Lonchura striata: one gene and its partners. The protein of the gene in region 2 interacts with the protein of the main gene of each other region in a pairwise test. Links are inferred from orthologs where the notes say so. Each region holds a gene or a part of one and is shown on either strand. Other genes may lie near its edges.

Region 1 (7,935 bases), on a different chromosome or scaffold from region 2:
TTTGCCACCAATCTTTCCAAGACATGCTTGAAGCCACACCTGACCATGTAGCACACACTTATATCATTAGTGACATCTTTATAGCTGGCTACCTAATTTACAAAAATAATTCCAAAATGCACATTTCACTTCAAAGTGAAGTCTCTTTTTATGTTTTCGCCAAATGTGAAAACCAGATGCAACAGCAGAGTTTAAAAAGACACCTAATTAGCCTAAATAAAGTTCAGTGCAGTTTTCAAGGGTTTATGGATGGCAGTTTGAAATCCTCAAAATCCCCTTTATGTGTTTGGTATAAACGTACAGATTTTCCTCTCCAAGTCTCAGTACCTTAAAGCAATAACTTGAAAGAATTTCCACCAACAAAAGACCTGGTTTTGCAAATCAAAGGTCTCAGGTATTACAAAAATTGACATAATTGGCTTTGCCTATGTAAATGCTAATTTGCAGCTGGCATTACAGCTCCATTAACTGAGATATCTAGATGGCATGATGGATGGGAAAAATCAAGTACAATCCAAAAGCCAGCAGGCTTTTTGTCCTTAGAACTTTATGTCATGACAGCACATTAACAGTACATCCAGACTGCTGTGAAGTTGCTGGATGGAGCCTCATGCCTGAATACTAATTTTCACGTTCACTAATTTTCAAGTCTCCTTAAATAGTTTTGCCAGTACTGTACCGTAAGGAAGTTTCTGTGTCTTTGAAAAGCCTGCATTCACTAAACATTGCACAAGGCAATTGAAATAAAAACAAGAAAGAAAAAGAGAAAAAAGAAGAAGCTATTTGATCAAGTATTAAGCTATTCCTTCAGAGAATTGCACTTTGCTTATATCAGTGACCAGAATTGCTGATGGTGTACTGACAGTTGCCATGGCAAGTGGGTGACTGCGTGGGATAGCAGACATATAGCCAAGTCAACTGCTTATGCAATTTCCATGATTTCAGCAAGCACAGAAGACTTTATTATGTGCTGCCAATGATCTTCATAAAGTGCCAAAGGGAAAAATGTTCTTCTGTATCAGGCCATGGCTGTTTCAGTATTCCCATTCATCTGTTTTCATGTCCAGATAGTAAAGAATATTCTGTGCAAGCTTTACTGCCTGCTTCCTAGCAGCCTTACACCGCTCATCACCTTGCGGATCAACAGCATCCAGGGCTAGAAGTTGTTTTGTAAGAAGTTCTTCCAGTCTCATGTAATTTTTATCTGTTCTGTTTCCATCAAATGAAATCACCTCTTTCTGAATTTGAGACAAGTTTCCAAGTACAGTCCAAACTGCTTTATGAGACTGATGTTCAGCAGCAGTTTGCTCTGGATACATTTGCCTTTTTTCCAATGCTTCCTTCAAATCAATATATGTTATAAGAGTCTGAACTTCAATTACTGCTCTTCTCCTGGCCTCTCTAATACAGGGATTTTTTCCTGGACTCACTTCATCTAGGTGGGCAATTAGTCCCTGCAACTCTGCTTTGGATCCCAGATACAAATCAGAAGCATTCTCTGTTTTTAGAAGTAAGGAATGAACTTCCTTCATCTTCTTACGGATCTCTTCTATTTTTAGAATAGACTGATTTTTTGCCAAATCATAAGCATGACTAGAATCTGCTTCTTCATCCAAGTCCAGGTATTTCTGCAATTTATTGATCTCTTCTACTACTTCCTTTCTGTAGTTTCTTATTTCCGTGCGACCGCAGACATCTAAAGCATCCAAATCAGCAATGAGGCCTGTGAGCACACAGGACAGATGCCTGCAGGTATCATTACTACTCACTCCCATTAGAAGTGCAATGAGAGTTCCTCTGGCTTTGTTCACTTCACACATTACAGAGTTAATTTTGGAGACAGAAGGATGAGCATCATTAGAGAGTGGCAGGGACAGCTGTTGCTTTAGACCACTCTCTATAATCTCCTGAACAGCACATATCTTTGTCAGAGTGCGGTATCTCGCTTTGCGTAGAGAAACTTTGCCTCCAGTTTTCACCTGTGTAAGCCTCAGCACAATGTCCTGAATTCCTTCTTCAAATTCATCACTTATACGGTTTCCTCCTTTGTAAGAAGCCGTGATCTCGCGTTCCACAAGTGACTGTGCCTCCTTGAATAAAGCCTCTATTTCCAGTCTGCGCGGATGGTTTGCATTTTGTTCCAGTTCCTTCAGCAGCCTCTCAGTTTCCTGGGCAGCTCGCTTTCTGGCTTGCTGAATATCCCCCTTCCCTTCGGTGTCTACAGAATCTATTTCAAACAGCTGTTTCGTAAGGCTTCTTTCCAATTTCTTGTAATCTCGGTCGGTGGACAGACCGCTGAAGCCAGCCACTTGCTGTTCAATCTCTTTGACTTCTTTCTGGATTTCTTGTAACCGTTTTATGGATGGGTGTTGGTTACCCATATCCATTCCTCTTCGCTCGTCCAGCTTCAGATGAACTACAAGGAAAACGATAACAAGACTTAAGCGCTACACGAGCACACATCGCAACTTTTACATTCTGAAGCACTTCAGCATTACAGCTATTTTAAGTATCTTCACCAATACAAATAAACCACTTGGCTGATGTTTCACAACCCTTTAATTTTTCCACACCTTTCCAAAGGGGGGACGCTTTAGTTGCCACACGCCCAGCTCTAGGATGTTCACCCCCAGCCTTCCGCCCTGCCTTCCCCACCTGCTCTGCAGCTGCAGCCGCCGCAGATCAAACAGGGCACCCGCAGCCCAGGGGAGAGCCCGCAGCGAGGGGGGGAACAGCGGCCGAACCCGGCCGAACCCGGCCGCCGCACCCGCCGAGCAGCGCTCCTTCCCGCACACACCTTGCTGCCCCTCAGGACTCGCCGCCCCCTCCATGGCCGCAACCTCCCGCCTCCCCCGCGGAGGGGCCCGGCGCACCGCGAAGAGGAAACGACACCGGGCCGCCGCCGAGGCACCTGCGGGAGGCCCGTCCCCACCGGCCCCGCAGCGAACCCGCGCGGCGCCCGCGACCCGCCGCAGCCGCTCCCTCACTCACCCGCCGCCCGGCGAGGCCCCGCTGCCCGGCCCGGCGCTGCGCCACGGGCCGAGCGCCGCGCAGCGCCCGAGCCCCGCCCGGCCCGGCCGCGCACGGGGAGGCGGAGGCCGAGGCGGCTCCGGGCCCGGCCCCGACCGAGCCCCGCCCCGCCCGCGGCCCCCGCGCGGCGGCGCCGGAAAGCGCCGGGCCATGGCGGCCGCCCGCGGGCTGCGGGCCGGGGGCTGTTACCGCCGCCGCTCCCGCTCCTCCGCCGCCTCCTCCTCCTCCTCCGAGCGGCCGGACAGCGTGGTAAACCCGGCGGGGGGCGGCAGCTCCTGCGGGGGAAGCCCCGCGGAGCCCTGCGTGGGGAGCGCTCCGCTCCTCCCGGGAACGCCGGCGGGGCGGGGGCGGCCGTGGCAAACCGCGGTGCCCGCGGCCTCTGGTTTTCGATGTGTTTGTGGAGGCTCCCGGTGTTGGCTGTTGGAGGGGCGCTGAGGTTCGGGCTGTTGGCTAACGCCAGGTGTTCCTGAACCCGGCTGGGGCAGGCACACGCCTGTGTGTGGGCACATGAAAGCAGGAAGAACACCGGGCTGAGGAAAACTTAGAATCGTAGAATTATAAAATACGCTGAGTTTCAAGGCCCCCACAAGGATCACCGAAATCCCATTCCTGGCCCTGCACAGAGCAGCTCTAAGAATCGGACCATTGAGAGCGTTGTCCAAAAACTCCTTGAGCTTGTCATGCTTGGGGCCGTGACCCTATCCCTGGGGAGTCTGTTCCGGTGACCATGACCTCTGGGTGAAGAGCCTTTAATATCCAGCCTAAACTTCCCCTGACACAGCTTCACCCTGTTCCCTCGGGTGCTGTCATTGGTCACCAGAGGGCAGAGATCAGCGTTGTAAAAAACTTGGATACTTACTTGCTAGTTCCCTCCGTGAAATACTTTAACAGAGTATCAGTGGTAGAAAAATTAAAACAGAAAAAGATATCTCACGATTTATGCTCATGGTAAGAGTTAAAGGTCTTGTAGTGCATTTGTAAGTAAAAGTAAATTGTAAATGTATGCCATTGTTTGTGGTCACAGTAAACAAATGTGCTTTATTTCTGAACTTGCTACGCTTGCACGCTTTAAGGTTCCGAGGCGTTTGGGCATTCATTCCGAGTTGAGACGTTCTTCAGCAGCTCTGCGGCGGTGCTGCTCACACCTTGTGTCTGTGTTCCACAGGGCCCGGGTTTCCGTCCCCCCGCGCACTCGCACAGCGACTGGATCGGTCCCCCGGACAAGCTCTCCAACCTGCGCCCCATCATCTTCTACGTGCCCCCCGAGGAGTCGGCGCTGGAGCGGCGGCTGCGGGAGGCGCGCCAGGAGGCCCAGGCCAGCAACCAGCGCTTCTGGGCACGGCACAACCGCGCCTTCCACCAGGTGAGCACAGCCTCGCACCTGCTGCTGCTGCTGCTGCTCAGCACCCGCCTGCCTGCCCGAAACTGGGGGGCTCGGCCTCTCTGAGGTGGGGCGCAGCTCTGCCCGCTGTTAATGCGCTCAGGGTCATGCAGGAAATGGCGGGTTTGTCGTTCATTTATTTAAATGATGCACAAAACTAAGAAGTCCACGTTTTATTGCTGCCTAGGGGCATAGAGTGTTTACCTTTTTCCTGTCTTGCACTGAAAGTATAAAGTTGTAGCTGCCCTACATGCAAGACCTGTCTCTGACTAGAGCAGCTGATGAAAATTATTCCATGGCTGGCTTTTCTCTTGTCATAAGTGAGAGAAATTTGGTGTAATTACAAAGACTAAATGAGGGTAAATAATATGTCCCATTTCATTGGCAGCGTATCTTAGCAAGGCTAAAGTGAGTGTCTTTCCTGATTTTAGCATCTCCCAGCCAATGTGGCATTTTTTGGAAGAACAGTAACAGTTCAGTAACTCACCACTGTTTATGATGTTGAACATCATATCCTCTCAAAACTTGCAAAGATCCCAGAACAAAATGAATCTTGTTTTTTTTTTTTTTAATACCACATAACTGTGGTATTAAAAAAACTGTTTAAGTCCATGAAACACACACAAATGATTATTGTGCTTCCATCTAAATAGTTTTAATTTTTTTAGGCTGCACCTTTTCCTCTATGCTCAAAATCTCAGTTATGTCATACAGCACATTCCATAGTTTATATAAACTGAAAGTTTGACTCCTGTCGAACAGCACTGAAGTTTGTCTGTAGCTTTACTTCACAAATCAGTTTTATAAGTATCAGTAGGACATTTGCATTAATTGATGCATGCAGGTAGCAGGAGCAAAGTGACCAGTTTTAACTAACTCACTGGACTAAGAAAAGTGTTCAGTTGACACTTCCAAGTGTAACGAGTATTGCTAGTTATTTCAAAGGGTGTTGAACACGACATTGCTATGTAATTAAAAACAATGGTTAACTTCAAGGACTGACTGCATCCCATTCTAATGTGGAAAAACGTGTTTTAGGAAAAAGAAGAATTTATTTATTCAAGACTGAAAGCCAAGGGTCTGGAAATGAGAGATGAATCAGGTTAGTGAGATCTTTGTTAATAGTTTAGGATGCATTCTGAATTTTGTTTAACTTTGAATTTTGTTAGTTTATGCTCTTTGTGTTCTGCCACAAGTAAATCTTAGGGGTAGGATTTAGAAATGTTTTCAGGAGTGTGATAATAAGAGAGACAAGGAGCTTTTCAGAGATGTGCATGTGGGGGTCAGATCATTTGTTGCACTCTCTCCCCCTAATTCCTTCCCCACAGCCAGAAGGAATGTTCTGAAATCCTAGCCCAGTGATATAATAATGTAGCCTAAGGAGGGAAGGATTTTTTACTTTCACACCTCCTAAGCCAGTGAGCTGGCTGACATAAACATACAGAGCATTTGCCTCAAGTGCATGTTATGGCTGGGCGGTTAAATTCAGAGTCTTTGGCTTCAGGTCCGTGGTGTGTCCAATGAATGCAATATTTTTCCTTGAGGGAGTGTAAGGCAGCTTCTGGGGAGCTGGCAGCTGCTATCTGCCTGTCTCTGCCTGGGCACAGTTGCTGTAAAATAGTTGTCTCTCTAATTCATTATGCGAAAATGAAAACAAAATGCCTTCATAATAATCGTGAATTGGGCATTGTGGTATGAGGTTGAACACTTTGTTCACGGAATAATGATCTGTTTGAGTTCAGGGAAGCATCTGCTTTGAGGTTCTGTATGTCACAGACCATTATTTTTCTTTTCTGTTTGTATTCTGGTGATCAGTGTGTGCTTGAGAAGTAATTTTAATTAAGATATATGTTGTTTCAAAACCACTTCTTTTATATTGCTTTTTTGTTAGGTTTTTTGTTTTGCTTTTATACTCTAGAAGTAAAAGACCACATACTTCCAGTAAAAATAAATCTATATCAGATGCATGCCTTTGGTCAGCTGTTCTATAATATAGCTGTGAATGTTTGTGAAAATATTAATGAAGAGTGAATGAAACTTGCTTTCCTATGTAATTAATCAGTTTTGCTGATACCAGTATGAAGAAACAAATGAACTATAAGTATTAAACTGGCAGCCTTCAAATGGTTTTATAGTTAATTTGTCCCATTGTCTGTTAATACATTGTGATATATTAGTTTTTAAATAATGACAAATAGAACCAATCAGTAATTTACATTTCTGTGGTCAATCTCAAGAGCCTTAAAATGTATTTTGGAACTGTAACAAGTTGAATATTGCAATTCCATTTCCCTCATCATATCCATGTTCTCTAGGGCATTGAAATTTGACTGTCATTTTAGGGACATTTTGTGCCAGAAGGGTTGTGTAGGAATTGTCTGGTAGAATTGAGAATATTTGCTGGTTCTCAGGATTAGACATCTTATGCTGTAGCCATAGGTCTTCCTGGACCTTTTATATTCTGCTTATGGGTGACATATTCAAAATCATCTTTTGTATTTCCTTCTTCTCAAAATAATTGCCTACTAGATTGTTTGGAATCTGACATCTCAGAACATAAACTTTTTGCCTGCAGTTACTTGAAATTTATTAACAGCAATATAAAAAGAATTACATTTGAAAATACCATGTCAATTGTGGATAGTGTTCTTTTGATATTTATGGACTTGCTTTAGGGGGGAAATTGTTACTAAATGCTCTTATTGGTACTCTTTAGGCTTCAGACTGTGAGAAATTATTTTATTCAAAGGATAGATACTCCTAGATCTATGCACATTTTAATAGGGTTCACTGGTTCCCTAAGTAGTCTAAGAGCTGGTAAACTTTGTTACTTCCACAAGTGATGGGTGTTTAAGAGCTATGCCAACTTCAAGATGATCAGTATTTTTCATCTGCTGTGCTCTCTAGATAAGTTTTAAAAGGTTGAAAGTTAAAGACATATTATTAACTTGTTGAGGTTTAACAGAAAGCTTGTAGGAGTAAGGAGTTAGACCTAGCATCTGAACCCACAGTCTTGATCCAAAGAATTGCCTTGACTTTGTTACACCAAAACCTATTTTCAGGTCAAAAAGCAACACTGAATGCAGAAGAAATGGCTGACTTTTACAAGGACTTTCTAAGTAAAAATTTAAAAAAGCATTTGCAGTACAACAGGTACGTAGAACGTATTTATGTTGACCATTATACATTACAGTCTAAGTGAGAGGTTAAAATATCAAGTTTAAAATTTGGACATTTTTTATGTAATTGATAAGACAGCTCAAACCCCTGTAATTTTTGAATTTTTTTTAATGCTGTTATTAGGATTTGACAAATCTGCATTATCATTTTATTTCTGCTGCTTATTGTTGTTTTAGTGGAAAGATAAGCTCAAGTCTGAGATTTAAAGAGACAAGATCAGGCACATTTTATTATCTTAGGGCACAGGTCTTTTCATGCTGCTAATTAAAGCTGATAAATATGCAAATATACCACTTGAAAGTTCTGTATAACAGATTCTAGCTGACTGTTAAATAAGGACAAGT
Region 2 (8,175 bases):
CCAGAGCTGGTGGCAGGAAAGTCTAGCAAACGTTAAGTGACAAAACTGATGTCTCTCTCTACTCAGAGATGATAAATGACACGAAAAGCCATGATGAAGTGTCAGGTACATTAAGGCCATGTGCTGCTGGGAGCACATCTGCACAGAGACCGTTCTGTCCCTGGGCCCAGCTCACCACAGGACCTGGGTGGTTGTGCTGGCACAGCTGAGATGGCTGTTGAGGGCAGAAGCTGTTGGGAACCAGCTGAGCACACCATGACTGATCTTCCTGCAGGTGCGAGGGCAGCTTTGGGCACGTTATCAGAAACTGAGGAGATGGCAAAGTATGGCTTTGTATTAGCAACATTCATGTAAAGAACAAGGTACCTAATTTTTAGAGGAACTTAGCAATTCAGCTGTGATTTGCAACTTAAGTTTAATGACCAGACAGATGAAAGAACTACAAGAAATCAGTACTAAAGGGTTCAGAAATTACACAGTGCCTTTTTACTGATTAAATTCCACAACTCAGCATTAGCACTTAAAAATGTCACCATACAATCAAATAATAAGCAGTTTGGTTAATAATTTAAATTAAATAAGTTGTAATTCTCCTATATAGCCAAAATTAAGCCCTGCACCTCTCTGAAGAGTGCAAGAACCTCCACCCACCACTCAGACTCATTCTCAGTTTAAATCAGAGTCCAGGAGATGGGACAGAGGATATAGGATGTTCCAATTGCTCAGAGACTGGACGAGTTTAAGATTTGCAGATGACAAAGGGCAAGTAATCCTGTTTCTCTGTACATGTGGATGATCCTTCATTATCTGTGGAGCAGGTGTTCAGAGGTGGGTCATGACTGCACTGGTGGGTAACACGAGGGTGTCACTGACCAGACAAGCCGTGGTACCTCCACCTGCAGCCCACTGCCGATGGTCCAACACCTCACCTGTGCCTCCATGCCTGTCCCCATGGCGCGGACCCAGCCCTCACCTGCGGGCAGCCTCCTCGATGCTCTCCCCGGGCTGCACCTTCCCCCCGAAGCCATTCCACAGCCCGGCGCCGAACCCGCGCTTCTTCATGCCCAGGAGGACGCGGGACGGCTGCACCACCAGGACTAGGGTGAAGAGTCTGGACGTGTGCATGGCTCCTGGGAGAGGGACGAGGCGGCGCGCTGTGCCAAGAGCTCCCGGCCCCCTTCGGAGGGAGCCGGGGGCGCACAGAGCCCCTCACGCCCAGCACCCCGCCCCAGTGCCCGGTCCCTCTATCGCTCCCACTGACCTCGCTTTCCTGCTACCTCAGCACCGCCTTCCCAAAGTTCGACCCCCCCTTCCCAAATCCTTGTTTCCCCACACCCCCGGGAATCCTGACCACCTTTAACACCCTCCTCTCCCAGCACCCCTTCTCCCAATCTTCGACCCCCTCCGCAAACCCCTGTCCCCCCAGATTATTCTCCGACCACCCTCAACACCCCTTCCCCTAATCCCTGCGCCCCTAGAAACCCCTCCCCAAATTCTAAATCCTTGCTGCTCCTAACCTCCCTCCCTGAATCCTTAACTCGCAGCTCCCCTTCCCCACATCATCGACCCCGACCCCGCGCGCACCTCAGCCCCACAGCCGCGGTTTCCCGCCCGCCGCGGTGTCCCCCTCAGCCGCGGCCCTTCCCGCGCCGCCGCCGCCCCGCCCGCGGCCGCCGTGAGGGGAGGCGGGACGGGGCGGGCCGCGGCGGCCATGGCGGCCGCGGGCGGCGCCGCCATTGCCGGGGGCAGGTGCGCGGCGGGGTCGCTGAGGCGACCCCACGCAGGGGATGGTGGCGTGTCGTTCGTGCCGGAGCTTCACTCGGGAATGGGTTAATGGGTGTTTGGGGTTTTAGGGTTATGCCGCCCGGCGGTTCCCGTGGCTGTTGGTTGCTCTGGCGGGAGCTGGCAGGAGCTCGGGCGTCCCTCCGATCCTCTGAGCGGTCGCGGGGGGCAGCGGCCCCGCTGAGGCAGCTCAGGAGTGCTGGGCTCACTCTGCCATGTCGTGTCCGTAAAACACCTGAGCAGAAGCTGGAGTGGGATCTCTTTCCCCCCTTAGCTCAGGATAACACGTGAGGCCTCATCCAAAATCTGACCCTGCTGTTGTGATAGGACCTGATAAGTAAAGGTGCCAAAAATCTCAAATTTAGGGGCTTCTTTTTAGAATCAGGGAATGGTTTGGGTTGGAAGGGACCTCTGGAGACCATCTAGCCAAATAACCCTTCCAAGGCAGGGTCACCTGGAGCAGGTGACATAGGAACGTGTCCAGCTGTAGTGAGAATCTCCCTACAGTGAGACTCCACACCCTCCCTGGCTGCCTGTAGTGGCTGGAATTAATTACTGTAGAGACTTCTGAAACACAGAGTGGTTATTTACTAACTTGCCTCTCTTCCTGGCTTTGCATGAGCAGGTGCCTGCACACCACAGTGAAGTTTCTGAGGAAAACTGGAGCTGAGCAGAGGTGGTTGGAGCGGCACTTGAAGGATCCCTTTGTCAAGGCATCGAAGCAACAGCATTACCGATGCCGGAGTGCCTTCAAGTTGCTGGAAACTGATGACAAGCTCCGTGTTCTTCGTCCAGGATTTTCTGTTCTTGACTGTGGAGCAGCACCTGGTGCTTGGAGCCAGGTTGCTGTACAGAGGGTCAATGCCTTAGGTACTGGTAAGTGCAATTTTTTGGCAGGCAAGATGGGGGTGATACTCCTCTTGATGAGTGTGACAGATCTGTGAAATACTATGGAATGTAAATTGAAATACTATGAAATCAAGGAAATATTATGATGGTAACAATGTGGGGAGGGGACATGGGTACTGGCAAGTGCCAGAGTCACTGATAAAAATATGAAAGGGTGAGCCTAGTAATTCTTCATATAGAAAAATTGTGTTTATGAAATAAAACATACCATGTGGTGCTAGTGATCTGATTAGCTGATTAGCTGTTGTCGGGAAGATCCCTTCATCCAGTTCTGAAATAGGTGTGACTTCTAGCAATTACCTTGGCTTATTTAAAATATTGTTTCCCTTCTCAAAAAATGGAAGCAACTTCTTTGCATGGTTTATATGGGTGAAGCCATTGATGTTTACAAAGTGAGGTGTTATCTGCAGCATTATCCAGGATTTCTGGACTGTCAGCCTTATAAGAGCAGCAGAAAACCAAAAAGAAGCCTCCTTGTTTATCCAAAGTAGCTGAGTTTTTGTGTCTTGAATGGATGAGATTATAGCAAATCCAGCAAACTGCCAGGGGAGGAGAAGGCAGCTGTGGCAGGTGGTGGGTTTTGTCTACTGACAGACACAGAGCTCGTGCATGTGCAGTTTTTTGCAGCCTCTCTGAGTGTTCCCTGTGTCATTCCTCCTTACAGATGCTGCTGTCCCCACTGGCTTCGTGCTTGGTGTTGACCTGCTGAGGATTTCTCCCCTGGAAGGAGCGGTTTTCCTGTCAGAGACTGACATGGCAGAGCCCAGCACGCTGAGGGCCATCCAGAGCCTGCTTCCCTTGGGGAAGGCAGATGTCATCCTGAGTGACATGGCACCCAACGCCACGGGCATCAAAGAGCTGGATCATCAGAAGCTGATCAGTCTGTGTTTAGGCCTTCTGGATATGTCCCAAAGCATTTTAAAGCCAAAAGGAACGATGCTCTGTAAATTCTGGGATGGATCCGAGGCCCGTCTGCTGCAAAACAGACTGAAGGAGCAGTTCCAGGATGTGAGAACTATAAAGCCTCAGGCCAGCCGGAAGGACTCTGCGGAATCTTATTACTTGGCAAGGCTGTACAGAGGGAAATGAAAGTCATGAGCTGCAGATTCTCTGACATGGATTGGAAATCTCAATTTAGTGGGTGTTGAAAGGAAAATCCCACCATTAAGACCTTGGGAAAATTTGTTGCTCTTCTTTAAGTCCATCAGGCTTTTCAAATACTTGCAGACAAAATGGTTGGGAATGGAGAGGAATAATCTGAAAGGCAAGCTCTGGGAATGGAGTAATGGAAATTAAAATAAAATGCTGATTATACGAGTTTTTAATGTGTGCCTGAAAATCATTGCACTGTTAATGCTGCCAGACATGAGACTGACCATAAAGGTGATCGTTAGAACGTGAGGAGAACATGAGCAAAGGGGAGTTTGAGCCAATTCAGTGCCTTTCAGAAGCTGGTGTGATTTATTAGCAGGTCACAGGTAAAAAATAGAAAATGTGTCTGTGCACATCAGGATCTGTCATGCATGGTGTGTAGCACAACCATGTGAGAGGCACGGCTGACTTGGGAATGTTCAGCCCCATGGCTCTGCTGCCTCTCCCACAGTACAGGTTATATTTAGGAGTTGCTGCCTCCTGGCACTCCTAAATCCCGTCAGTGCCAGTGGGACAGGGTCATGGCCACGCAGCTCATCTCCCCAGTGCTTTCTAGGTGTGGCCAGTGGTGTTTCTCAGGCGAAAAGACAAGATATTCCTAAGATCCCAGTAGGGAGAATGACTGAATTGCCAGAAATCTGCTTGCACAAATAAATTCAGCTGCTGCCTTATCTGAAAGCGACAAATTTCATATTAAACGCTGCTTTTATCGGGCTGACCGTGGCATGAGTTATATGAGAGGCTGTTTTGAAGACTCCAGGCCTTTCTCATCACCACCTTGGGGCTGCTGGCTGGATCCCTGCCGGAGCAGGAGGGCGCGGGGCGCTTTTTGGGGGTGCGGCCCGAGCTCTAAGCTTCACCGCCTCTTATCGGGGCATTACGGTAGCGCGCGGAGGGCTGCGCGCATAATGCCGCCCTTACGGCCCACGGCGCCGCCGCTCTCGCGAGAGGCGGGCGCGGAGTTCCCGCGAGACGCCGTGGCCGGGGTGAGGAGGGAGATCCAAGCGGGGCGCGCGGCGAGCGCTGAGGGAGGCACGGGGAAGGGGCGCGGACGGGGGAAACGGAGGGAAGGAGGCTCCGGCCGCGCCCGTCCCGCCCCGCTCTCCCCCAGGGGAGTCGTGCCGGCGAGCCCCTCGGTGCCCGGAGCTGCCCCGTGCCCGCCGCGGCCGCTCCCGGTGCTCGCTGCCCGCCGCGGGTCCCTGCGTACCCTGACGGGTTTCTGGAGCGGACCGGGTCACACACACCGAAGTGTCGTCGTAATCGCTGGGAGGTTTGGGAACGGGCTTGCTGGAGCTGCCTGCCGGCAGGTGCGTTTAGTTCTCCAGAGCTCGGTTTGGGTTTTGGCAGATCTGTTGGTTCTGCGCCGCTCTTATGCTTCCTGCTCGTGATGCTGTAAATACAAACAGTAACTGCTGTGTAACCCCGGGAGTGCAGGAGCCCCGAGGCAGCCCCAGGTCTCTGTCTGTGCTGCATCCATGGGGATGTTGTGGCTGCCCTTCCTGGTCCTGGACCTTTTCCGGTGTTCCTGGGGATTTATGGAGCGTGCAGTCACTGGAGGGACTCACCTGAGGTTTCCTGAAATCTGGGGAACCTTGGAGCCTTTCCTGAGTGAGCACCATGCTTGATTTCTCTTTGGCCTTTTAGTTAGTACGCTTCTAAATTGGGAGGAAAAGCTGTATCTCATTATATAAATAATTCGATGCAGTTTCACTTATACAAGTGATCAGTGGATTTGGGAAGACTTGTTGGAAATTAGAGTCCAAAGTGCTTCTGGGAAACCAGAGACAAGTTGTGTAGCAGGAAGGGTTTGCTGCTACTGTGGAGTTAGTTCTTCTCCCATCAGATTCAAAAATTAGGGGGAAGAAAAATGAGTTTGGTTTGGTCAGAGAAGAAGATGCTGTCTTGCATCTTTTTCTCATTTCAGAGGAAATTACAATGTCAGCCTGGATCATGTTTTCTGTGGATCCCAGCAGTGCAGATTGCAGATTGATTCTTACCCTGTAAATGGGAAGACCTCGTGTTTAGTCTTTCCTCAGGGCAGTGATGGATCCCTCTTTAGCAGAGCATCTTGCTCTGAGTGTTTTGCTGATGATTTTCTGTCTATTTCCAGAGCCATGGAGGACTTGGAAAATAATACCACTGTCTTCTCCACCCTGAGATCCCTCAACAACTTCATTTCACAGCGAATGGAGGGAGTGTCTGGGCTGGCTACACCTGGATCTAGTCAAAGCTCCTTACAGATGCAGTACCAGCAGAGGATGCAGGTGAGGAGTCCTCATCTTGGTGATTCCTGCAGCACCACTTCAGTGTGGCCATGTGCTCCTTTTGATTCTAGGAGCTGGGAATTTCATTCAGTTCTGACCGTTCATTCTGAAACTGACACAAACAAATAAAGGAAGCTTGCTGCCACCGTTCTGGAATATTTTTAGAATATATTTAATTTTTTTACAGTGTCAGTTTTATTTCTGTTTTATAAAAGTTTAAGAAAGGTTCTTTGAATTTATTCCCTGCTAGTTATATCTGTATAGCAGCTCAGGAAATTAAATTATGAGTTGTTTTCATAATGCTGAACAAAGGAGCTTTATACTTTAACATTTTTTCTGGTAAGACACTTTGTTACCTTTTTTCAGGATTTAAAGGCTTCTTTGCCTGGACACATACAGGAGACTTGCATTGAGCTGTGGCTTTGATATGCAAACCAGTTGTGCTTTCTTATCCACCTGAGTTATTTACTTTTTTTTTTGCTGTTAGCTGCTTCAGGCTCATAAAGCATAAAGTAAATTGACAATCTTAGATCCCAGGAACTGTTTATTAGGCTGCAAGGAAGTATCTCTATTCTGTATCTTAATATAATTTCTATTTCAGTCTCCAAGTAAAAAAATGTTTGCTTCTTTTTAATGTAAATCTGCTTTGCATTTGGAACGTTGACAAAAGTTTAAGCTTCTGTCTGTGCTACATCTCTGGTGGCAGCAGTAGTTGCAGGAGGCTTTCTGGTTAGTCTCCATCTGCTGTGTGTTGGATGTACATCATCAGGATGTGAGTAGTTCTTATAGTATTGTCTGTGCTCTCAGGTAATTTGACTGAAAAAATGAAGTGGAACGTTGTAGAGGTTGTGGAAAAATGTGTTATTTTGCTCAGCAGTTAGTTTTATTTGGAGCATGATCTGTGCTTCTTAGGCTTGGAGAATTCATAATTAGCTTTTTAGATAAAGTAGATTTTGTCAGACTACATCTAGAGATTGAGCAATTCTGATTTAGGAACCAGGAATTAGTTTCTTTCCAATTCACCTTGATTTGGTGTGGGTCTCTGAGCATGGTGTTGAACTCTTTGTTTCCCCATCTACAGCTGGTGTGAGAAGTGCCACAAATGTGGTGATAGTTTGTAAAATGGCAAGTTAGTGTCAGCGAGCAGTACAGGGCACCATGATACTGTTGTGCTGTTAATGGTGTGCAATGTCCCTTCTCACACATGAACTGGCCAGCTGGAGGAACAGGCTGGGCAGATCCACTCCAAATCCCAGCTGCTGCAGGTGGAACGGGAGAAGATGCAGATGGAGCTGAGCCACAAACGAGCTCGCATCGAGCTGGAGAAGGCAGCTAATACCAATGCCAGGAACTATGAGGTGAGTGGATGTCTGCTCATGGCTTGGGAGCATGGCCTAAGCCAGAACACATGGAGAGCATTTACATCAATGATTTGGGTCAGGGATGTGCTTTGGTGTGCAGTGTCTGTCTCAGAATGTGTATAGTTACTCTTTGGAGTGAAACCAAGCTGAAAGGTGCATTCCAGGAGCAAGCCTGGTGTTCTCCAACTGCTAATGGACACTGTCTTCAGAGCAGGACTTCAGTGACTCTGGAATGCATTTATTGTGTTTGCATTTACTGCGGGCGTGGCTGTCAAGTTGCCAGCACCAATGCATCTACAGAACTGCTCTGCAGGTCCGCTCTCAGTGCACTGCACTAACTTGCTAATGTGCGCAAGAGTGTGGTCTTGAATCCTCGTTATGTTCACAGACTGATGATCTGATCACTGGATTCTGTTAGCTTAGCACTGAAATTGTCATAGGTAGCAGTAACAAAAGGGATTTGTTATATGTTTCTCCCAGAAGTATTTAATAATTTTTCTCCTAGAGGGTTTAAACTTCTGCTGGCACAATTGCAAGCATTTAGTTTGTGTGACTGTAATTAATTGGAATGGCAGCAGTTCCAGCCATGCAGTGTCACGCAAGAGAGCCTGCACTGATAAAACACTGAGCCTCACTCAGGGCCTAATAGCTTTTATTGGGTTCTGCTTTTCTGCCCACGTATGTTTGTGTAACGATGTTACTGAAAT
Region 3 (7,365 bases), on a different chromosome or scaffold from region 2:
GGAGAAACTCCCAACCTTCAGTATGTCCGCTCCTTACTTCAACTTTTGTTCTTACTGCATGGAAAAGAAATAGTTCCAAGAACATTCATAAGATGACAAACACAGCAATTCCACAAGCAAAAGCAAAGAAAAATATTTGATAAATGATGTATGTTTCTGTATTATCCCAATGCACCCAAGAGAATCTTTGAAAATCAGAGAATCTGACTTAGCTTTAGGCTGCCTGGAAGTGAAAACATAACAATGTGGAAATATAACACGGACTCTATACTGTGACTTTCAGTAAGAAGTTGAAAAGTCACATTGGGGAGGTTTCTCATCAGCCATATAGGGACCAAGCACTTCTAATGGTCAACATCTGTAGAAAACATCATTGTCTCCAGATCCATTCCTACACTCCACAAAAAATGAACTTGAAGAATCATAGTGGCTAGCATTTCACAAATTATACTCCATTCTGTTTCCCTATCTTTCCTTGTCTCAAAACCTCTAGAGTCCTTGGCCAGTCTGCACCATGATCATCTCTGCACCTTTCTTCCCACCGTGCCCAAGGTTCTTTGGCTCTTCTTGAGATGCTGGGACCAGGGCTGCATAAGCTATTTGACACAGAACTGGGTAACATGACCATGCAACCACTTCCTTTGCTCTTTATTCATCTCAGTGGTTCTAATACTTGATCAGCTTTTGTCTAAGCAATGACGTAGCATCTTTATAGAGCTATTTACTGCCCATCTGTTCGTTTTGAATGGTAAAAGCCAACTCTGAGCCCACTGCTGTACAAAGAAAATCAGTTTGTCTTACTCCAGAAAATTAGTGTTGTGCACTGGGTTTTCTCTAGTATCACACAAATACTGCAAATGCATTTTTAAGATATTCATGTAGGAGTAATTTGTATTCATGGCATTTTAAAAATATGCTGAACAATACAATGATGGTCTGTTTCTTGTTCAAGTCAAAGAAAATTACAAAATTCAACAAAGATCCTATATACACACCTTTTAATACACTACAGCTTAGCAATAATAAAAAATGCCAGATTTGGTTTAATTCTAAAAACTCCAAACCACTTTCTCTAATATTCTTCAGCAAGGCTGATGAACAGAATCTAAACCTACAAGAATTAACACCGAGAGTTAGGACCTAAGAAGCTGCAGCATCATCAAACAACTCTTGAGACATATCCTAACAGCGTACCCTGGTGCTGAAGTGCAGCAACTCTTTGAGACGTAGTGCAGTGAGAAGTGTAGCCCCCCTGCTCAAGATACCAAACTTTCTAGCAACTACTGGAACTGTGCCAAAACAACCTGTGCCTCAAGCAAAAAGGCCTTGAAGTGGTGCTGCCCCTGTGCACAATGAGAGACCTCTGGGTCTCTCATTGTGGGGCCAGCCAGGAGAGCACTGAGGCACTCGGAGCCACTGCAGGAGCCAAGGACTCAGCAGGATGAACCCAGACTATGGCACACTTAAGACTGCAAGGGTATAAAAGCTCAGAGATTTGGTTGTTCAGGACCCCTCCTTGGAGGCACCCAGCTCAAACTGACTTCGTGTTCTGCACCATGATTAAACTATTGTAAGGATTCAGATGTCTCTGACTCTTCCATGGAAAACCTGGGGTCAAGCTGGAAAGGGAAGCTTGTCTGAGTGTGAGTGTTGTGTATAGGGAACCAAGCAGAGCACACACTGGCTCACTGGAGCTGCTCTCCACAAAAGGCTCCAGTGCCAGCAGTGAGAGCCTCGTGTGGTGGGAGTGCATCCTGGGTTGGGGACTGTGCTTCCTGAATGATCAGCCAGGAGAGTTTCCTTAACCCTGCCACTGGAGTTTTTCAAGATATGACTGAACAGAGGACTAAATAATCTCACCTAGGCTGCCTTTCCCACAAGGGGTTGGACCAAGTGATCTTTCAAGGTCTTTCCAGCCAGGGCTGTTCTATGATTCTAAGCCAGTGGCATTGGCCCAGGCAACTTGCTGTACAAGGGGCACCAGCTGAGAAGGAAAGGTAAAGTAGGATAACAGTGCCCTACATAAGCTTTTCTTCTGTTAAGTGCATTTTCTGAACATCCAAGAGGTTGAACTGAGCAAAGGTGAAGTTTGAGTAAAGCAACAAACATCCTAACAACATCAACAAACTTTTGCAGGGCAGTGTGACTCGTTGTTACTAAGTTAATTTCCTTTCAACTGCTTGTCAAAAGGGGGGGAAATCGCTGAAGGGAACTTTTATTGCCAAGAAATGGTTCCATAAAGGAGATGCCCACATGATATATTACATAAAATCCTCTCTCTTTCTGCTTTGCCTTGAGAAAAGGCATCACTGCTCTGTCAGCATCAGGCTAATCAGGTCATTTGCCCACTACATTTTTTCTGACAATATCTTTGCCCAGAAAGATTTGACTGCTGCTTACCCTAGCCTTCCTTTTGTCAAAAGCCTATCATCACAACCTCATCCTCTTTCCACAGTATTTCTCTTACACTTCTCTTACACTTCCCTTAAACCCCAAAAACAAGCCATGTCACTTAAGTGATGTGCCATTTGTGACTTCAGCATTCACTCTACCTACAAGTGACAACCTGAATCATCACAAATACCAAAACCAGGCAGATTTTGAACAAAATGCACCAGGATTAGCATGGGTCTCCAAGTCACAGCATCTCTACCAAAGCACCTGAGAGTGGGAGCCTCCTAATTCTTGTCTTACAGTACAGTAACATATCACCAGGCACAAAACTGACCCTATGAAATCAGGCTCCCACTTCTTAACACATGCACACAACTTCAAGTTATTATCAGTCTATGACCAGAATGTTGCAATGGAGGGATACAGACTCTTTAGGAAAGATGGGCCATAAGACAAGGAGAAGTTATCGCCTTTTAAGTCTCATTTAAGGAAAGGCTGAGAGCTGGGTCTGTTCAGCCGGGGAGTGAGGGTGGTGCCATCTTATCAATGTATAAAAGATCTGAAGCGAGACGGTAAAGACTCCGGCTCTTTCCAAAAGTGTAAGCACAGAAATACATAATAAGTGAAATACCAAGAGGATCAATACCACAAGTGGCAAAACGCACGAAACCGGGTGGGTGCCACGCAGGAGTTCCAGACTGCGTCCCGCCACCGTCGGTGCCGCAGCCCAGCTGCCCTAGGCACAGAGGGGCTCTCCCTCGGCCTCCCCGCCTGCGGCCGCCGCGGCCAGGCCGCCTTCAGGAGCGCACCGACCCGCGCAGCACCCAGCGCCAAGCCCAGGGAACGGCGAGGTGCTGAGCAGCCCGGGCAAGGCCGGGCAAGGCCGGCGACCCCACCTGTGCCGGCAGCGCCGCCCGCTCCCGCCGCTCCCGGCCGCGCTCGCCCGCCGCCCCGGACGCCATCCGCCATCCGCACCGCCCGCCGGAAACCGCGCGGGCCGTACGGCAGCGCCGCCCGACACTGTCGTGAACAGCGCCCCGGGGGGGCGGGGTGGGGCGGCTGCGGCGGCGCCCGACTGCGGGGCACGGGGGACAGCGGGGATGGCCGGGATAGCGGGGACAGCGGGGATAGGGGGATAGCGGGGATAGCGGGGCACGGGGGACAGCGGGGATAGGGGGATAGCGGGGATAGCGGGGGATAGCGGGGATAGCGGGGCACGGGGGACAGCGGGGATGGCCGGGATAGCGGGGACAGCGGGGATAGGGGAATAGCGGGGATAGCGGGGCACGGGGGACAGCGGGGATGGCCGGGATAGCGGGGACAGCAGGGATAGGGGGATAGCGGGGATAGCGGGAACAGCGGGGATAGGGGGATAGCGGGGATAGCCGGGCACGGGGGAACAGCGGGGATAGCCGGGCACGGCGGGGACCTCCCGGAGCCGGGGTCTGGCACGGCTCGGCCCCTCAGCCCCTCTGTTCTCGCTCGGTTCATGGCAGGGTTATAGAGTCATGGAATGTCCTGAGCTGGAAGGGACCCACATGGATCATCAATGCCCAGCTCCTACGCAGGACCATCCCCAAGAACCACACCGTCTGATTCTTGTGAGAGCGTTGTCCAAATGCTTCTTGAACTCTGTCAGGCTTGGTGCTGTGACCACTTCCCTGGGGAGCCTGTTCCAGTGCCCAACCACCCTCTGGGTGAAGAACCTTTTCTCAGTATCCAACTTGAACTTCCCCTGGCTGAGCTGCACGCCTGTTTCCTCGGCTCTGTCACTGCTCACCATAGAGCAGAGATCAGTGCCTGCCGCTCCTCTTCCTCTCACAAGGAAGCTGCAGACCGTGATGAGGTCTCCCCTCAGTATCCTCCAGGCTGAACACACCAAGTGCCCTCAGTCGTTCCTCAAATGGCTCCTCCAGTCCCTTCACCATCTTCATTGCCCTCCTTTGGGCAGTCTCTAACAGCTTTGTGTCTGTTTTACATTGTGACACCCAGCACTGGAGGTGAGGCTGCCCCAGTGCAGAGCAGGACAATCCCCTCCCTTGCCCAGCTGGCCATGCTGTGCCTGATGCCCCCCAGGACAGGGTTGGCCCTCCTGGCTGCCAGGGCACTGCTGGCTCATGTTCAGCTTGCCACACACCAGAACCCCCAGGTCCCTTTCCATGGTGCTGCTTTCCAGCCTCAGTCTGTCCCAGTCTGTCTGCACATCCAGGGTTGCCCCATCCCACGCACCCAGGTGGGTTCCCCACACCTTGCTCAGAGCTCACCAGCATCACAGGTGGAAGTCCCAGCAAAGACCATGTCCTGGCACAGCAGCTTATTGGAACCCTGTGCTACCTGACCAACAGGACCACACAGTCCTGCAATGGGCATTAAGGAAACTTCCCTGTGCAGCCGCCCGGAAGCCTCTCCAGCAGTCACACTCACACCACCTGAGCTGCCCTGGCAGCTACACACCCCACAGTCAGACAAGGCTTCCTTACTGGCTCAACCCCAGGTTTCCCACAGCAAAGTCTCTGACGTCTCAATCCTTAAAATAGTTTAATCACAATACCACAACAAAATGACAACTTGAGCTGGGTGTCTTCAAGGAGGGACCCCAAGTGAAGAAATCTCAGGGCTCTTACACCCTCACAAGCACAGTCCAAGCAGAGCCATGTCTAGAACCCTTGGCTCCTTCCATGTCCCGGAGTGTCCAGGCACCTGGCTGGCACCACAAGTCCCTGTACCCTTTGGCAGTTTCAGAGTCTCTTGCCTCAGGCTCAGGCTTCTCCCCAGTACTCAGCCTGCAGCTGCACACTGAGCACTAAATGCAATCCTCAGCACTGGGGATACTGACATCCAGGCTCATCCCTCCTGCTGGGCTGAAATTCCCTTGCACAGACCCTAGCCTGCTTGTCCAGACTGGCATTAATGAGAGCAAACAAGGGAACGTGGCCTGAAAGATGCTCACAGGTTCAGGTGCTCTGCAGTGCCCAGTGCTCCCCATTGCTGTGAACACCTCCAGGTGATTTTCCAGACACTTTCTTACCTGTTTTCAGCCAGTTCAGTGCATCCATGTTAGACTGTGACCTCTGTAATGTCAGGGTGCTGGCTGCCCAGAATGTGCACGGGTGAGCAGAGGGAAATGCAAAAGCAGGTGTGTTCAACCATTTGGAAGTTGCAGCTGGTCAACACCATTTGACAGGGCTTCTTTGCCTCTGGTGAAACAAATGTTTATCTGGGACATAATTTCTTTGGGATGAGATCAGAGCATTATTAATGTGTCTGACACCAAACGTGTCCACAGCTGCCAAGTAATATTATTTAGGCCAAGGTCTGAGTGAAGATCTTGGGTAATTTGTTAGCTATTTGCATGGGACAGTATGTTTTTAAAGTGGTAACAGTAATTTAATCATCATCTCCATGGTGGTATTAAATGTGTAAATTAAATTTGCACAATTGTTCAATTTATGCTGACAGTTAACAGCATCTCAAGAAAAACCTGCTGTAGATCACCACAGGTATAGAATGATAACTGATAGACTTTCATAGGCACCATTTGGAAAAGCAGCATGTGAAACCTCTTCAGGGAGCCATTTACAGAGGAAACAGATGGATACAGAAGATGTTCCAGCAGGATTGACTAATGCTACTTCCAGTCCTTGGCTATATACAGCAAAGTACACTGCTTGAAAGAGGAGAAGCAAGAAAAGAGCATGTTTGCCCCATTAAGGAAAGCCTCTTCTCTGATTGTGATGTGCTCTTCTCACCAACAAATTGGTTTCTTTCCATCCCAGTGCTACCACTTGTTCCAGGCAGCCAGCAGAGTATCTCAAGTGGGTGCTCTCTAACTCGCTCAGCACACAGCCAGGCATATGGGCTTAATAGATTTGTATTAAATCTAAACAGAAAATTGATAGTCCATGAGCTGAGCCAACTACTTGTGACTGAATCAGTTTAGGAAGTATTTGAAAATGCGAACAGAAAGTCTGGAGACTGTGGCATAGTGTGAATAGTGACAGATGTGGACAATTTGGGAGTGAGAACAGGGAATGTATTTTCTACAGCAGAAAGTTACAGACAAAGAAGAGGATTCAAAGCACAGGGTGAGCTCTTGCATTGTTAGGTGCCATTCTTCAAACCTGTAACCCTCCATGTCATTAATAGGGTGGTTCTGTAAATTTTAATTTAAAATGATTTTCTAATACTCCTGGTTTTAGGAAAGAAACTATGACACAAATATGCTCTAGAATCTGAAGAACAGTAAAACCTAGAAAGTTATATCTGAGGGCTGCCTTTAATTTTGAAGTCAGTGGTTAGGGAAATGGTGGCATAATTTAATTTCATTTCCTCTCCTTTTTTTGAGAAAAGTATTTTCTTAAATGGAGCAGGTAAAAACTAAAGTTTACCCTTATTTCTTTGAAGATATTGGTATGTCTGAGAGCTCTTCACATGCTCAGAAATCTTCAGTGAGCCTAGAGAGATACTTCTTGGTATACCACTTTTAATGGTCAGCTGGGCACCTCTGCTCAGTTGTCTAATTCTCTGTGCCAAAATCAAAAGGCTAACAAAACAGTAATACCCTGGATATACTGATTTTTATGAACTTCAGGGAGGAACTGACCTTTCCTAGTGAAGTATTATTTTCCATTTAATGGCACATTTTACACTTTTTCTGAAAGAAATTGGTCACTCTCCAACTGATGTGTGTTATAAACCTCCATGCTTTTAACTTTCACTACGTGCTTTAACTCTCAGCTTGTTTTATTTTTATTTCAAAAAGGTTAAAAAAAAATCCTCTCTACTCAGTGTGATACTGTGCAGTTTTCTTTAAACTAGATGCAAGGTTTCACTAGGGAAAAGAGTTGTTTTTTGTTTTTTCCTGAGAAAACAAAATCTTTTCCCACTGTGATGCTGGAGAGCATTTCTTACCTCAGTTACAACAACACATTATGAAGTCCTCATACTAAAGAAAAACATTATCCAGTAAGA
Region 4 (7,254 bases), on a different chromosome or scaffold from region 2:
CCTGAGGCTGCAGACAGTCCCTGTCAGACTAGACTCCATCCTGGGGCTGCAGTGAAGGAAATGCAGTGCAGGATTGCTGGGAATTCAGCTAGACCATTCTCAGGAGGCACTAACAGAATCAGGGAAGGACACAGCTCATCCCTCTTCCTGAGAGACCAGCAGAAATGCTCTGGAAAAGCAACAAAGCCTGGAGCTGAACAAGCTTGGACACGTTGGGAGATTCCTGATGTTTGGGGTGGCTTGAGAGGGTGTCCTGTTGTTAAGCTTTGCTGGAGCTGCCCCAGCAGGAAGCTGGGACATGAGGACACAAAACATGCACTTATACAGGCTTTTGGAGACCTCCAGGTCTAGACACACTAAGGAGAAAATCTTCAGGGAAGCCACATGTAAATCTTGGGTCACTTCCAGAAGCTGGAAGTCCAGAGTGAAGTGCTGCTACCAGACACTTGACTCTGCTGCTATTACAGCGTATAAAAATGGGAACAGGGCTGTGACAAACTGACTGTGCCAAAGCCCAAGCGACTTAAAGCACACTGCACCAGGAGAAGTGGCAGCAGGCAGCCCAGGAGAGCTGGAACTCCTGGATCCCTGGTAGTGCACCAGGTACCAAGGAAGAGGCTGTGCAGCCATGGAGCTCCTGTGTCACTGCAACAGAGCCTGCCTGAGGCCTTGTTATGTAAAAGATATGGTTAGCACTGCTCACGGTCCGCTTTTCACGTCACCCGCGGCCACACCACGGTGCTAATTGGACTGGATCACAGGTAATTGGCAAGAACACTTAATAGTCTTAATTTATTCACTGAGATGGAGACCATCAAAGGTACAAAGTCAATTGGGAGCCTCAATTCTGTTTGGGCATTTGGGAAAAAAAGGAGGAAAAAAAGGAAAAATAACTCCCCTTCTACTGTCTCCCATGATAGATGTGCAATATTGCTGTCCTCTAACATCGTCTCATTAGTGGGACATGCACAAAACTTGTTCTGGGTAATTTGTCTGGCTTGTCTGAGGGCCCAGTCACCACCCAGTGCAGAAGGCAGTGGAACCCTTTCAGATGCAGCAGGACCCAGCCTCCAAGCCTTTTCAAGTGCATTTCCCACACCACCAAAGGGTGTTGCCAGTTCTGATGGGAGGGTGAGTTTGTAGAAGCAAGTAGAGCGCAACCAATTTGCAGCAAAACCAGTCATATAAACACCCTCTTAACATCAAGCATCTGGGGAGATGGTGAGCTTTTGGGGCTGGGGGAGATTATCTTGGGGGCAAGAAGGATTAAGAGAGTTTGGCAGCTGGTCATAGTACTGGCATTTAGCAGAGGGGCCAGTGAGGTTTTGTAAGAGGGACAGGGAGGAGGAGGGGTTTTCTGGGTCAGCTGCATGGAAAAGGCATGCAGCCTTTTTTCCTCAATGTAGTGAGAGGGAAGCAGCCCTCTGCAGCTGCATACTTTGTTAGTGCTGATTTGCAAAGACATCTTCACATAACCATAAACACTACAGATGGGAATCTGCTTCTAGGTCAACCCAGTCCATCCACAGCACCACAGCACTTCCATGTACACTGTTTTCAAGTGACTACAGATTTAAGTTTGATGGAAGGTTTAATCCCAGGGTTCAGAAAAGAATGCCACTATTGCTTAGCTGTTTAATCTGCTAACACGAAGAGCTACGGTCAACCTTAACGTAACATCCCTGGGGACAAAGGATGAACATGATCCTTATTAGCTGCACTAAATTGCAAACAGTATGTCCATTAAAAAACCCATCAATATTTACAGCAGCCCCACTGAACATTAACATTCTCCAGTAATAACTTGTAATGCTCTAATGACATAGAGGTACCTCTTAATTTATGGTTATAAAACTAAGCTCAGGAAGTTGCGCTCCATCACACAGTATTACAATCCTGTCATAGCGCCCAGGTGAGGTGCTCACAGCCCCATCTGAGCCGCCTGCAGCTGCACGTAGCAGCGGGATCTCCACGCAACTCGATGGATACAAACAAACCAGCAACTGGTGTCTCAACCGGAGCAGTGCCGGCTGCACTGTGATTTCATGAAAGGCACGTCAGGTTCTGCTGCGACTCGTGTCAAATGACACTTTATCAGACATGGTGCAAGCCACTGCCATCCTGGTACTCACCCTAAAAGGCTGGTCCGGTATAAATGGAAAGTAAGGAATAGACGACTGCTCTTCCCCCCATTCTCCGGCTACACAAGAGTTTCTGACAAACTGTCTCTCTGTAAACACAGCTTTCAGTTCTATGGCTACATCCGCAGGAGGATCTTCTGACTCCCCACAAGTCAGACTGATGCCAAAGCTGCAACACAAACAGAACAGCTCTCATTCAGCCAGAAAAAAAAGCAAACAAGCCCCAAATGCCACCAGTCTTATTTCTCAGCTTATTATAGCCATGTAGTGGCACAGGCTGGAAGACAGCTCAGCTCATTCAGAGCTCTCTGAAAGCTCAGCAGGGACAACAACATGGTTATGGAGTACATATGTGTGTGTGTGCAAGGCGTTGGGCATATATTTGTACATATATGCAGATATATATGCTTGATATGCTTCACTCCCCAGTGAAAACGGAATCCCTTGAAGAAATGCCCCCTCTATGGGTCAAAGGAGAAACCAGCATGCTATATTTAAAATGATAAAAATAATCCTTTCCAGAAAGCAGGGATCCGTGCGGATGTGTGTGTGTGTACGTGCGGGTGGCCGCCCCGCTTCGCCCCCTCCCCAGCACCGGCAGTCCTGTGCAGGTGTTACCTCTCGGGGTTGAGGTCCACTATGCCCATGACCAAGATCTTCTTTCCCGGCCTCATTCCTCCTTTGATGTGCCCGCAGAAGGGGACGATCTGGAAAGGACGGGCGGAAGGTGGTGAGGGTCAGCTCGGCATCACCAGCGGCCGGAGCTGAGCGGGGGCGGGGGACAGTAAAGGCATTGACAAAATAAAACACACCACCAAAAAAAAAACAAAAAACAAAACAAAACAAAAAAAAAAAAACGAAGAAAGGTGATTTACCAGGCGAGGGAAGTACACATCAGCCTGCACCGGAGATCCCAGCGAGTTGTTTAAATGCCCGTCCTCTATTTTCTGCAGGTGAGAAGGAGAGCGCTGAGGCAGGGCCGGCGGAGCCCCCAGCCCGCCCCGCTCCGCGGGAGCCCTGCCCGGCGCCCGGCCCCGTCCCGGCCCCGTCCCGGCCCCGTCCCGGCCCCGTCCCGGCCCCGTCCCGGTGCCACGGCCGCACTCACCAGCGCGTCCCGCTCCGCCACGGTCCCCGCCATCTTGTGGAAGCGGCGGCGCTGGGGACAGGGCGGGGGAGAGGGAGGGAGGGAGGGATGGAGGGAGGGAGGGGGCTCTGTGGCGGCCCCGGCGGCGGAGGGGTAGCGGCCGAGCCGGAGCGGAGCCGCTGCAGAAGTAGGCAGGCGAGGAGGAGGAGGAGGAGGAGGAGGAGGAGGAGGAGGAGGAGGAGGGGAGGTGGCCGGCGGCCGGCTGGCACTGCCTCGCCCGGCGGGGAGCCCAGCCCTCGGCCCGAGGGGAGCCGGGCAGGGCGGGGCGGGGGCTGCCGCCCTGCTCCGCTCGCAGCCCCGCGGCGGGGCCGGCCCTCAGCGGGCGGGCAGAGCGCGGCCCCGCCGGGCCCTCACCTGGCGCCTGCAGGTGATGGCTGCCGGGGGAGGGGCCGCAGCAGCCCCGCGCCCGTCGTGTCAGGGATCGCCTTTCTGTCCGGGCTCGCACGCCTCGGCGAAGAGAATGTGCCGAGCCGGGCGTCCTAGGTGGCTCCCTTCCTCCAGAGGTGTTGGGGGGACGCTGCTCCGAAATGAGCCTCCACGCCTCTCCCCTCCGTGCCCCGTGGCGAGGAGCCCTCAGGGGGTGAGGCCCCGAGCGGGGTCGGTGGGCAGAGCCCCGAGGTGCGGGAGTGACTCCGTGCCGGCCGGTGCTGCCCCGGGCCCGCCGTGCCCGCAGCCTCCGGCGAGCTGCGGGCAGTGCATAAGCCGGGCCGTGCCCGTGAGCTCCCGCTGACACGCCGTGCCCGCGGGTGTGCAACGCGGCGGGGTCTGCGGTGTGCCCTCTGCGGTGTGCCCTCTGCGGTGTGTGTGCCCTCTGCGGTGTGCCCTCTGCAGTGTGCCCTCTGCGGTGTGCCCTCTGTGGTGTCCCCTCTGCGGGTGTCCCTCTGCGGTGTGCCTCTGCAGTGTGCCCTCTGCGGGTGTCCTTTCTGCGGGTGTGCCCTCTGCAGTGTGCCCTCTGCGGTGTGCCCTCTGCGGTGTGCCCTCTGCGGTGTGCCCTCTGTGGTGCCCCTCTGCGGTGTGCCCTCTGCGGTGTGCCCTCTGTGGTGTCCCCACTGTGGTGTGCCCTCTGCGGGTGTCCCTTCTGCGGTGTGCCCTCTGCGGTGTGCCCTCTGCGGTATCCCTTCTGTAGTGTGCCCTCTGCGGTGTGCCCTCTGCGGTGTGCCCTCTGCGGTGTGCCCTCTGTGGGTGTGCCCTCTGCGGTGTCCCCTCTGCGGTGTGCCCTCTGCGGTGTCCCCTCTGCGGTGTGCCCTCTGCGGTGTCCCTTCTGCGGGTGTCCCTTCTGCGGTGTCCCTTCTGCGGGTGTCCCCTCTGCGGTGTCCCCTCTGCGGGTGTCCCTTCTGCGGGTGTCCCTTCTGCGGTGTCCCTCTGCGGGTGTGCCCTCTGCGGTGTCCCCTCTGCGGTGTCCCCTCTGCGGTGTGCCCTCTGCGGTGTCCTTTCTGCGGGTGTCCCTTCTGCGGGTGCCCCACTCTGCGGCAGCTCGGCCACCACCGGCCCTGCTCGTGCCTCACCTGGACCACAGCAGGGGTGACCCGCCCCGCCGAACGCGCTGTCATGGTCCTTTTGATGAGTTCAAGGTCTTGGGAATTGAGGAAGGCTTTCTTGTCGCTTGGGATTTGATGGCATGAGCATCCCCTTAGGAACGTGACACAGCAACTGGAATTGGCCTGTGCTCTGCAGGAGCTCACACAGGGACTGGGCTTTTTGTGGCTCTTGCTTGCACACTGGGCTGGGTTGGTGAGTGTCCTCGTCCTTCCTTCCTCCGAGGCACTGTCAGGGTTAATTACATTGGGTAAAGTGGAGTGGGGGAAGCAAAGTCACTGCAATATTTAGGGTTTCAATATGATGGTGTCTGTTGGGAAACACCTGCAATCAGTAGGTGATGCCATTTGGGAAATCGAGAGGTACTGAGTGTAAAGAACAGATTGTGCAAGTGTTTAGCTGTGGCTATTTTTTCAGTAGTGCCCACTAATTTGGGCATGTTTTCCTCTCTGGATGCCCAGTTGGAGATGGCTCATAGAAGCTCATGTTTGGAAGTCACGTACTGAAGTCATGGCTCCTTCAGGGTGTACCAGCACAGCTGGGCAAGAGGCAGCGAGCATCCCTGTGGCCCAGGTCTCGGCATGGGAGAACCACTGGACTGTTTTCTTCTTGCCAAAACCCTGAATGTCTCATCACCACATGGAAAAGCATCTTGCTAGAGAATGAATTTGTAAATAGTGCAGTAACATGAACCCATCACACATGAGAAACAACTGGCTTTACAGTGGTCAGGTGAGTGCATTCACAAGTTTACCACAAAGTGGAACTGGAATTAGCTTGATGTGTTTCACCTCCTGTATGCTGCTCACCTCACCGTGATGATGATGCCAACTGCATTATGTTATCTTTTTCTGTTGGCCGAAGAGAGAACAGAAATCATCCTAAGCTTTTTTTTTTTTTTTTTTTTCAGTTGTATGGTGTTACATGTTATCCAAAAAGCTCTTTTCAGAACCCTTTGTCTTCTCTGCTGTACAGAGAGACACTTTGTTGGATAAAATTAAATTCATTGGACATAAAATCAGGCCAGCCAGTTGTTTGTGCCAAAGAACGATGTTTTATGAAGGGAGAGGCCATCATTATGTATCTATTTTGTAGCTGCTTTTAAATGAACTTTTTCATTTCAAAACAATTAAATAACAAGACTTGTCCATTTGGCTAGCTGCTTTGCCTTGTGCTTGTCTTTTTGGCATGTTTTCCCAAAACTAGCACAAATGCAGCATTTGTTTTGTTGGCCATGGACTGACTGGAACAACCCGCACTATTAAATTTTGATGGAAAAGGACATTCATAAGTTTTTAAAGCTCTGGTGGCCTGTGCCTCTGTGTTTCTGTGCCGTGTTATCCTCATAGCCTGAAACAGTCCAGGAGGACACCAAAATCTTTCTCTGTATACCATGAACAGTGTGAGGCAACCAGAGAGGAGCTCTGCCTCGGTGTGCTGCCGTCCTGCCTGTGGGATGGTCACTCCTGTAGGGAGGTGTTCTCCAGCAGAAGATTTCCTGCATTGCCCAGCAGTCCATGGAGCAGGATTCCACCATGTTTCTCACCCATGGAGGAGCTTCCTTGGGACCCAGCTTCCCAGGAAATCCCCCTCTGCAAACAGCTGCAGGGTGAGTGCTGCACCTAAGCTCCTCTGCTTGTTCTTCTGAAAATGTAGACATCTGAGCCAAATCTGTTCCTTCACCCATGTAGTGCTTGTAAAATCCTGTACAAAATAGCCCCCAATCAGTATTTTTAACAGCTTTCTTGGCAGGGAAGCTCTTGAGTTATCCTGCTTGAGGGTCTGAGCTTGCAGACCTTGTGGTAGTAGCTGGGGCAACATAAATATTTGTGCACCACTGAAATGGTGCTGAAGTACAAGCTACTAAACTTGTCTCGTTGGCCAAGTGCAAAAAACCTTGTGGACAGGTATTGTCTTTCATTTCTGGGTTCGTACAGCCTTTTGCTCAGTGGGAGCCTGGGACTCTTGAAATGCAGAGAATCATGTAAAGATTAAAAAGAAGTGGCATGGTGTGAACACCATTTGGGAGCAATTAATGACATGCCCAGCCACCAAAGCCATTGCTGAGAACTGGCAAACCCAGAACTTCATCTTAATCCCAGCACCTTGTATCTTGCAGCCACTCCCTTTGATGATTTAAAAAGGTGTATCTAATTCTTAGCTGGCCTTCACTGGCAAGGAATGCAGTACGATTGCAAATTTGGTGTGGTATAATTACCCTGCCTTTCTTGCCCCATTACCACTGACATTACTCTCCTCATGCCTGGGTTTATAGGCTGACTTGTAGAACCTCTCTGGTTTGTTTTGCTTTTTTAATGACAATGTTGAGAGGATGGGAGGTGTTTGCTGGTTTCATGGAAGCTTCCTTTGGTTTCTGGGTGGCAAGGCACCCCACTCCTGGTTTTTGTAAGACTCGGAAAAAGCTGAGTAATA

What was found.
Region 1: the proteins of MAD1L1 (region 2) and BAG5 interact in binary tests that used the Homo sapiens proteins (3 or more experiments, as listed by UniProt). The two-hybrid records come from large-scale screens. The link is inferred for Lonchura striata from reciprocal best matches to the Homo sapiens genes MAD1L1 and BAG5.
Region 3: the proteins of MAD1L1 (region 2) and CWF19L2 interact in binary tests that used the Homo sapiens proteins (3 or more experiments, as listed by UniProt). The two-hybrid records come from large-scale screens. The link is inferred for Lonchura striata from reciprocal best matches to the Homo sapiens genes MAD1L1 and CWF19L2.
Region 4: the proteins of MAD1L1 (region 2) and LGALSL interact in binary tests that used the Homo sapiens proteins (3 or more experiments, as listed by UniProt). The two-hybrid records come from large-scale screens. The link is inferred for Lonchura striata from reciprocal best matches to the Homo sapiens genes MAD1L1 and LGALSL.

Annotation. Positions count from the first base shown.
Region 1 is NC_134608.1:10,004,822-10,012,756, reverse strand, and holds the start of BAG5 (BAG family molecular chaperone regulator 5), read right to left. Parts: upstream 3,064-7,935; 5' UTR 2,992-3,063; intron 2,417-2,991; 5' UTR 2,388-2,416; coding exon 1,035-2,387; 3' UTR 1-1,034. Other genes in the region: COA8 (cytochrome c oxidase assembly factor 8), read left to right, coding at 3,181-3,279, 4,196-4,393, 5,450-5,513, 7,474-7,564. UniProt on the Homo sapiens protein: Co-chaperone for HSP/HSP70 proteins. It functions as a nucleotide-exchange factor promoting the release of ADP from HSP70, thereby activating HSP70-mediated protein refolding.
Region 2 is NC_134618.1:13,417,767-13,425,941, reverse strand, and holds the start of MAD1L1 (mitotic spindle assembly checkpoint protein MAD1), read left to right. Parts: upstream 1-4,800; 5' UTR 4,801-4,829; intron 4,830-4,891; exon of another isoform or gene 4,892-5,150; intron 5,151-5,424; exon of another isoform or gene 5,425-5,451; intron 5,452-5,953; 5' UTR 5,954-5,957; coding exon 5,958-6,107; intron 6,108-7,324; coding exon 7,325-7,465; intron 7,466-8,175. Other genes in the region: NUDT1 (oxidized purine nucleoside triphosphate hydrolase), read right to left, coding at 974-1,125; MRM2 (rRNA methyltransferase 2, mitochondrial), read left to right, coding at 1,712-1,749, 2,408-2,658, 3,356-3,780. UniProt on the Homo sapiens protein: Component of the spindle-assembly checkpoint that prevents the onset of anaphase until all chromosomes are properly aligned at the metaphase plate.
Region 3 is NC_134604.1:44,165,731-44,173,095, forward strand, and holds the start of CWF19L2 (CWF19-like protein 2), read right to left. Parts: upstream 3,366-7,365; 5' UTR 3,357-3,365; coding exon 3,291-3,356; intron 1-3,290.
Region 4 is NC_134605.1:1,265,932-1,273,185, reverse strand, and holds the start of LGALSL (galectin-related protein), read right to left. Parts: upstream 3,322-7,254; 5' UTR 3,280-3,321; coding exon 3,247-3,279; intron 3,089-3,246; coding exon 3,017-3,088; intron 2,849-3,016; coding exon 2,760-2,848; intron 2,311-2,759; coding exon 2,133-2,310; intron 1-2,132. UniProt on the Homo sapiens protein: Does not bind lactose, and may not bind carbohydrates.